Linked DNA regions of Coturnix japonica. Each later gene encodes a partner of the first gene's protein in a complex. Links are inferred from orthologs where the notes say so. Each region holds a gene or a part of one and is shown on either strand. Other genes may lie near its edges. The genes, in order: AIFM1 and CHCHD4.

Region 1 (3,815 bases):
TTTGCTGCTGCCCGATCCATTCGGGCTCGTGACCCTGGTGCGCGGGTAAGGGATGCCCTGTTCTAGAAGAGATCTCTGTAAATGGCTGAATGCATTCTTGCTTCAGAGCCTATGTAATGTTTCTATGTTTGCCAGCACTGGTGTAGCTGACATGTCTGATGACTGCTTGTTTAAAGGTACTGATTGTGTCTGAAGATCCTGCACTGCCCTACATGCGTCCACCTCTCTCCAAAGAGCTGTGGTTTTCAGATGATCCTCACGTGACAGAAACTCTACGGTTCAAACAGTGGAATGGCAAAGAAAGGAGGTATGTGTCACTTGGGCAGGAAAGACAAAGAAGAGGGTCTATAAAGAAGCTGCTGATGATTAAAGTAGTCTTATGAGAGAACCACTGGAGAGCCCTGAAATGCTCAGAAGGCAGATCACCAGGTAGCACTGTGTTTGTGCTGAAGGCCCTGGGTGTGTGTGTATTTGTGTGTATTGTTGGTTGACTAATCCAAAAAGGAACAGAGCATTGCATGCTGTGGGCAGAATTTGTGTGGTGTTTGCACTGGGCCAGGTGACTACATTGTGCAGTTCAAAAAGCTGCAGATTCATGGAGTGTGGGTTTGCAGAGCTGTTACAGACGTGTCAGTCAAGCAACAGATCAGGCTGTAAGGCATGGTAGTTGTCAAGAAGAGTGCAGCTTAATATAAGTTAGCTCAATACTAAATTGAATTTGAGACTTGTGATTCCCTTAGATGTATGTGTAATGCTATAACACGATGGAAAGTACGATAATAATAGAGGGGCAAAATACTTTGACCAAAGCAAATGAGGATAAGCCCAAGTGCAGCAGTATAGAAACAAGGGGAAAAAACGTGCTTACCTTTAGAAGGTCTCCAGCATGCAGGGAACTCCAACAAGAGATGCCCTTACTTCCACTGCCAACCCTTAAATGAGGGCTGGGAAGAGGCATATCCTGACTCCATCCCTTTCATCCCTCAGATACACTGCATGCACCTGAGCTCCTCTGGGCTGGCCCTGCCTTCCCACCAGGTGTTCAATCACTGCTTCAAGCTCAACAGTGTTTTTGCTACAATATGCCACTAGTAGGAGAAATCCCGTGAAATAAGTTAATTGTAGAGGTGAGGATGGAGCCTTGCAGTTCAGAATGGAGCTCCTGGAACCTTGGATCCCACCGGATCCCTTTGGTATTCGTGACTGTATCTCTTTCTGATCTAAACACTAGAATGTAACAATGTGCAGCAACTAGTTCTTTGCTGTTTCTGAGGCTTGTTGTGGTTGCACACAGTTGTTTTCATGTCATTGGTGATTCCTGTATAGCTGGTACCAAAGAGTAACTGGAACACATCTGCTAATTGATCTCTTCCCAGTATATATTTCCAGCCACCGTCATTCTATGTGCAGGCTCGTGATTTGCCTTTTGTAGAGAATGGTGGAGTAGCAGTTCTCAGTGGCAAGAAGGTGAGTACTACATGTCTCGCTGTCGTTCTAATGTCATACAGTTCTTCCCAAGCAGAGCCTGTGTCTGAGCTGGAAATAAACAGCTGTAGATGGTGTTGTGGAGGTTGGCTGAGGAGAAGAATGTGGACAGTTTTCAGAAACGTGTATACAGTGAATCAGGGACTACCCTAATATTAAGGACAGCATGTGTGAAAGCAGGAGAAGCTATGAGGAGTAGTAGCTAAAGGTAAGAAGACAGTTTGTGTGTGGGATAAGAATATGTAGAGCTTAAAGACTGTGTGGCAAAATGGGAACTGAGCTGCATATGAGTTGGAAGGTGAGGTGAGTAGAATATCATCAAAGTAGTGGACTGCAGCATAAGTAAGAGCAGAGTACAGAGGCAGCAGAAAGGTGGAAAAGAGTTTATGGTTTCCTCAGTTCTTTATATCTTGCTAAAACAAAGAATGTAGTCTTCTCACTGCTGAATTGTTTCTTACATTCATATCCTGCGGTGATCAGTCCAATCTGTCATTGCTACCAAAAGAAACTGAATTCCTATTGCCAGTTCCCCCCTCCCTGAAAAATTACAGAGCATTTCAAAGGTGTGAAAATGGTGCTTCCAAGTATTCTTCTCTATTTGGTAGTCTGTGCAATCTGACTCAAGTAGGTGTCCTACAATGAGTGGAAGCCTGAGCTGCCCTGCTTGGTTTTCTTTGCAGGTTGTGCATATGGATGTGAGAGGCAACACTGTGAAACTCAATGATGGCACGCAGATATCCTATGATAAATGTCTAATTGCGACTGGTGAGACTTTTGTTCTGATCTCCTGTTCTTCATGTTGTGTCGGGCTTTTGATTTCAGTGGCATTAAGTGACAAGCTTCTGCCATGTGGCAGAGCAGTCACACGAAGGGCAATAATACAGACAAACGTGGTGGCGCTGGGTTTTTTACTTGCTTTGCATAAGCCAGCTTCTCTGGGACATTCAGAGTTTTACCCTGTGAAAAGCAGCAGGGAAGGAGGAAAAGGTGACTGCCCCAGCAGCTGGGTAAAGGCACTCCTCTATAGTCTGGGGTTTTCAAATCCTGCCTTTAGCAGCAGTAAGGAGAACACCCAGCTCTTAGCTTGGTAGAGCACCACTGCAGCATCCAGCACTAGCGGTTACATCCTTGTGTAGTTAATTTGGAACTGACTCTGCAGTCAGTGGAGCAAGGTGCATGGCATTAGGTTGATTGTGGGGGGTGTTTCTGTTGGCTTGTTTTAACTCAGACTGCAGACTTGTCCACTGCTTGCACTGAAGGTCTTCCATGGTGGAAACCAGAGGGCAAAAGAGAATAGAGCATACTGTAACAGCTTGAAAAGCTCAGTCCAGATGGGTGGTGGCTCTGCATTGCTGACATGGCCAGCAGTCACAAACATTTCTCTCTCCCTGTCTTCCCCCTCCTCCCTTCCACCCTGTCCTCAGGTGGTTCCCCAAGGAACCTGCCCGCCATCGAAAGGGCAGGAAAAGATGTACAACAACGGCTGACGCTGTTCCGAAAGGTAATCTACAGGCACTGCTAGACCTGGGGTGAGGCTGAGCTCATCAGAAACACTGCCAGCATTTTCAGCTTGTTAACTCTTCTGCATTGGGTCCAGGACAGCCTTGCCTTGACTACCAGCTCCCCTCAGCTGGTAACCAGGGATCCATTTGCTGTTTATTCTTTTCCCTGAGCAGGTGAATGGGATAAAGCCTGACCTCGCCCTCCCCCTTAGCCTGAAACATTCCTATCATAGACTGAAGTTTTAGCTGAGTGTTTGTGTTAGCTCTTGGGTTAGCTTAGGTAGTTTAGATACTCTAATGTCTTCTTCATGGCATTTCTTCACCTTCATCCTGCGCCTTAGGGGAAAGTGGGTGAAAGAATTGAAGTTAGTTGGCAGACTCCTAGTTTTTGTTGGAGGGATGCTTTTTGTTGACAAGCTCCACGTGTCTTGTAGGGTTTACAACAGACAGGGAGTTTCTTCCTTAGTCTGGTTCAGGGAATTAATTGAGGACAAGGAGCCCTGTGGGAATGTCGTGCCCTGCACTGGACTTGCCTTGGTCCAGTCACTGTCAGGTCTGCTGTGATCGGCTCAGCTGTGTAAGGGATGTGTAACAGAAATGTAATGGGGGACGTGGTGTTCTTACAGTACTGTGTGTGCTGTAACCTGGAGATTTCATTGCAATTTCCTCTTGACGTGTGGGAGAAAATGCTGAGATTGTGCAAGTTTTTCCCCATCACCAAACACTAGGAAGCCAGACAGTTTGGGTTTTCTCTTTCCTGTTTCTCTTTTTCTTTCTGTGCAATAGAGGAAGGAGAAACATGTCTCCCATTCTAAGTCAAGGAAAAGA
Region 2 (3,875 bases), on another chromosome or scaffold:
ACCCTATACATACAAAACTAGTTGAATGCCACCTTGGCCAACCATTTTAAAGCTGTATATAAACTCTTGATAGTACTTCACTTACTTCATTGGTAAAAAGAAGGTAGAAGGACAGAAGAAATGTCCCAAGTCCTATAAGCATGCCTCCAGAAGTCTCGCTGAGCCTCTCCAGGAACCCTGGCTTGGCCTCGCTGGTGATTTTGACATGTTCTTTTTTGCTTCCTGTGTCAGAAAACTGTTGGAGGTAAACCAGAAATGTAATATTGGTATAAAAGCAGATGGTCTGTTTCAAAAGGAGCTCTTTACCTTTGCTAAATTGCTTAACCACTGCTAAACGGCACTGCTTGCATTGGAGCTGAACCTTCCCACACTTATTAAATCACAGAATCACAGAATGACCCGGGTTGGAAGGGACCTCAAGGATCATGTAGTTCCAACCCCCTAAATGCCTTGTCCCAATTTTGATACCAGAAATACAGCCAGTAAATAGACCTTAACTAAGAAAAACAATGCCTATAGCATTGGCAAAGCACATCCCTTCACACATCCTTCAGCCTGTCTCTACGTTCCCTATTTGGTATCCACACCCAGCGACAAACTGAGTAATACTCCCAAATTCCAGACTAGCTACAGCACAGCTATAAATACCACAATGCAATCCCACAGCACACCCTGCCATAACTGCACCTTGGGGGACTAGAAGAGCTCTCAGAACAAACTTCTGCTGCTATGCTGAGCATTGCCACATTAGAACACCAACAACACAGGGTGTGAGGAGCACCACAGCTCTGTGCTGTGGGTAATACCCAAGCAGCAATAGCGGGTAGAGAGGGGAGGAGGCGAGGCCCCTCTGGAGGAGCCAAGCGGGATCTGACAGCTATTGGGATCCCCCACAGGAGCTTATCACTTACATTCCTCGACATCTTCGGCCTCTTTCCCTCACAAACCAGAGAATCCACCAACGACAACCGCTCAGCAGCAGCCGCGCCCACCTCGATGTGAGGGCGTATGCTTCCTGGTGTTAGAGTTCAGTGTGTGTTCTTCCGGAGGTCAGCGGGCACAGCGTGGAGCTGCGGCGGTGTTGGAGGAGGAGGGGAAGGACGCGGAGCCGGTCTGCGATCGCACTGAGTGTGAAAGGCAGCGGGCGGCTCCGCCATGTCCTACTGCAGGCAAGAAGGTGGGTGCCTGCGTCCTCACAATGTCACCCTGAGGCGCGGGGGCGGCGCCGCTCGAAGGGTGGAGGGGAGGCCGCGGGTTGTGTGGGTGTGGGGCACCACACGTTTCATTTCTAACCTGGGGGATGCATTTATCTTTCCCCCTTTGTGGATTGTGATTTATCTTTCCTCCCTTGGTGTGGAGTTTCATGCTGCAAAGAATGTCCTGAGTGCTGCTTTGAAAGGATAAACTCGTCACTCTGGATAGTGATTATATACTGTGATAACTTCTGGTTCTCTTTGCCTTATTATTATTAACTCACTTTATTGATATCTTGTATTTTTACCAGCTCTGTCCATTGCCTTATGGCATCCTACAAAATGAATGATAGCTGCAGTTATAGTTCATGTTATAGTTGTGGTGATGGGGTTATAGTTATACTTCATGCTAGCAGTGATGATATTTCATCCACTTCTAGTTCATTTCATGTATGAAATCCCAGCTGTTCTGCACTGTAAAGTTGGCTGGAATGCCACACGGCTGACAATAGTTTCCCTTTTTGAAAGAATCCAGGTTTATCTGCTTTTCACACCTAGTGTTCAAGACCAGGTTGGATGGGACCCTGGGCAACCTCATCTAGTAAAGGTGTATGTTTGGTGGCCCTGCCAGGCAGGGGGGTTGGAACTACATGATCCTTGAGGTCCCTTCCAACCTGGGTCATTCTGTGATTCTGTGAGACTGAATGCAAAGAAAGGGAATTACTGAACGTTTTCTGGTAGAGGTCATGCTGAAGGACAAGAAGATGCTAATTCATAACGTGCTTTGTCATTGCAGTGGCCTTTCTGAATTTGGAGCTGAAGTCTTTGGGGTGCTCATTCCAGTCTGTGAATGCTGTGTTATACATTCAGAAAAGCTTCAGTTAGATGTTCTCTTCTGCCTGTATCTGCCTTAAAGCAGTTTTCTACAACCTTACAGAGTTGTTGGGAAACTTTGCCCTGGTTGCCAGCCAAGCCTGTTTTTTTTTTCCCCCTTCATAACTACTTTGTTAAATCAAGAGTGACACAAGAGCAGGAAGTACGCTCTGTTTTTCTGCCCTTGTTAATGTTTGCAGCACCTTTCAACACAGGCTGCTCTAGACCGTTAAAGTGCTCTTTAGTATTTAATTCACATAATAATTATAGACTATGACATGACTCTGTAATGGAGGCTGCTGATCTTAATTAATATCCTGCTGAATGCTTTCTGTAGCACAGGAGAGTTTTTCCTTTCACTTTTGGTCCATTTCCATCCAGCCTCTTTAGCTGAATTTGTTCTCCCAAGAGAGCAGTAGTTTCAGATGGTTTCAAAACAGCTCTTTAACTTTGCAATCCAGTGAACTGTACAGTGATTTACAGCTGTTACAGTACTTTGCTGTGAAAAGCAGAACTCTAGAGCGAAAGGATTTGGTAGTTTCTATATATTCTAACATGTAAATGGGTAATGAGTATTACTTATGTAATGAGTGCTTTAAAAGAGGACTTCCCAAACTGTTTTATGTTCACCTCATCCTCACTTCCTTCCTGTATAACATAATAATTAGTTTCTTCTACAAGGTGCTGTGACTTTAATAATTAGTTTCTTTTACCCACGTGGGATTTGTGGCTTCATATTCAGTGGCAGTGTTGCTTAAGGTACTTCATTTTGGGTTGCTTGCACCCAGCTCCTGTCACTGTGCTGTGCTGATCCCTGACTCGGTTAAAGAGGGGAAGGAGCGGAGAAGGTGGTGTTAAAAAGCAAGTTCTCTGTGACATCTGTTAAATGCTGCCTCAGCTTGGAAATAGTGTGCAGTCCTTTACTGCTTCCGTGAGTCCTGTATGCTGATTATGGTCTCCTTTAGAAACAAATACCTGTCTTATCACATCTCTCTTCAGTGCAGTCTCTGTAGGCATCTATTTGCATTGCATAACTGTGCCATATGCAAATATTTATTGTAAATCTCTAGTGGGTTATGACTTTTTCAGTTCTTATTGAATATTGAGAATAACTTCCTACGGTTACATGGGTGTGGTACAAAGACAATGGGTTCAGTTCTATTCTCTGTTCTAGATAAATTACTACTCATCTTTTCAAGCGTAGGTTGATTTTCTCCTAGGCCTTATTTCCAGTTCTTTTATAACTTTCAGTACCTTCCCTTTGAATACTTTCCCAATTCTCTTTATACACATTTTCCTGTGAACCAGCAACTTGTAATTGAAGATGCTCAATAAGGAAAGTAGAATTCATTCAATATTAACATCAGGGCATCATGTTGAGTATCTCATTACTGTGTTCTGGTCAGCCACTTTGTCAATTACTTACTCTCAGCTTTTCCTGATCTTTTGCTTATTGTCTCCTACACAACAGGAAAGGACAAAATTATCTTTGTGACAAAGGAGGACCATGAGACACCAAGCAGTGCTGAGCTGGTCGCAGACGATCCAGATGACCCTTATGAGGAACACGGTAAGTAGCTGAACAGAATGAAAGCGGAGATTGATACACCATGTATTTCATATGCTAATTATATTAATTCATTTTTAAAGACTGAGCTAGTAGGGCAGCGGTTTCAGTAAATAAACATTTTATTCAGTAAACTGAGAAAACTATGTAGTAAATTATACAGTCAGACTCCTCTCAGTCTTAACTTCCAAATCAGGACAGCACAAATGATGTACTTTCCAAATGTGTTTTCTTTTTCTTTC

What was found.
Region 2: the proteins of AIFM1 (region 1) and CHCHD4 are in contact, whole or in part, in a cryo-EM structure (PDB 9GQZ), measured with the Homo sapiens proteins. The link is inferred for Coturnix japonica from reciprocal best matches to the Homo sapiens genes AIFM1 and CHCHD4. Residues at the interface, in NP_004199.1 of Homo sapiens: Pro345, Tyr347, Ser500, Ser501, Leu502, Pro503, Thr504, Val505, Gly506, Val507, Phe508, Ala509, Lys510, Glu558, Asp559, Tyr560, Asn602, Ala605, Lys606, Phe608, Asn609, Ile610, His611; in NP_001091972.1 of Homo sapiens: Arg5, Glu7, Lys9, Asp10, Arg11, Ile12, Ile13, Phe14, Val15, Thr16, Lys17, His20, Thr22, Pro23.

The regions. Positions count from the first base shown.
Region 1 is NC_029519.1:1,537,053-1,540,867, forward strand, and holds part of AIFM1 (apoptosis-inducing factor 1, mitochondrial), read left to right. Parts: coding exon 1-45; intron 46-176; coding exon 177-307; intron 308-1,376; coding exon 1,377-1,467; intron 1,468-1,522; exon of another isoform or gene 1,523-1,693; intron 1,694-2,165; coding exon 2,166-2,250; intron 2,251-2,909; coding exon 2,910-2,986; intron 2,987-3,815. UniProt on the Homo sapiens protein: Functions both as NADH oxidoreductase and as regulator of apoptosis.
Region 2 is NC_029527.1:8,345,698-8,349,572, reverse strand, and holds the start of CHCHD4 (mitochondrial intermembrane space import and assembly protein 40), read left to right. Parts: upstream 1-1,033; 5' UTR 1,034-1,155; coding exon 1,156-1,177; intron 1,178-3,537; coding exon 3,538-3,636; intron 3,637-3,875. Other genes in the region: TMEM43 (transmembrane protein 43), read right to left, coding at 86-235, 912-923.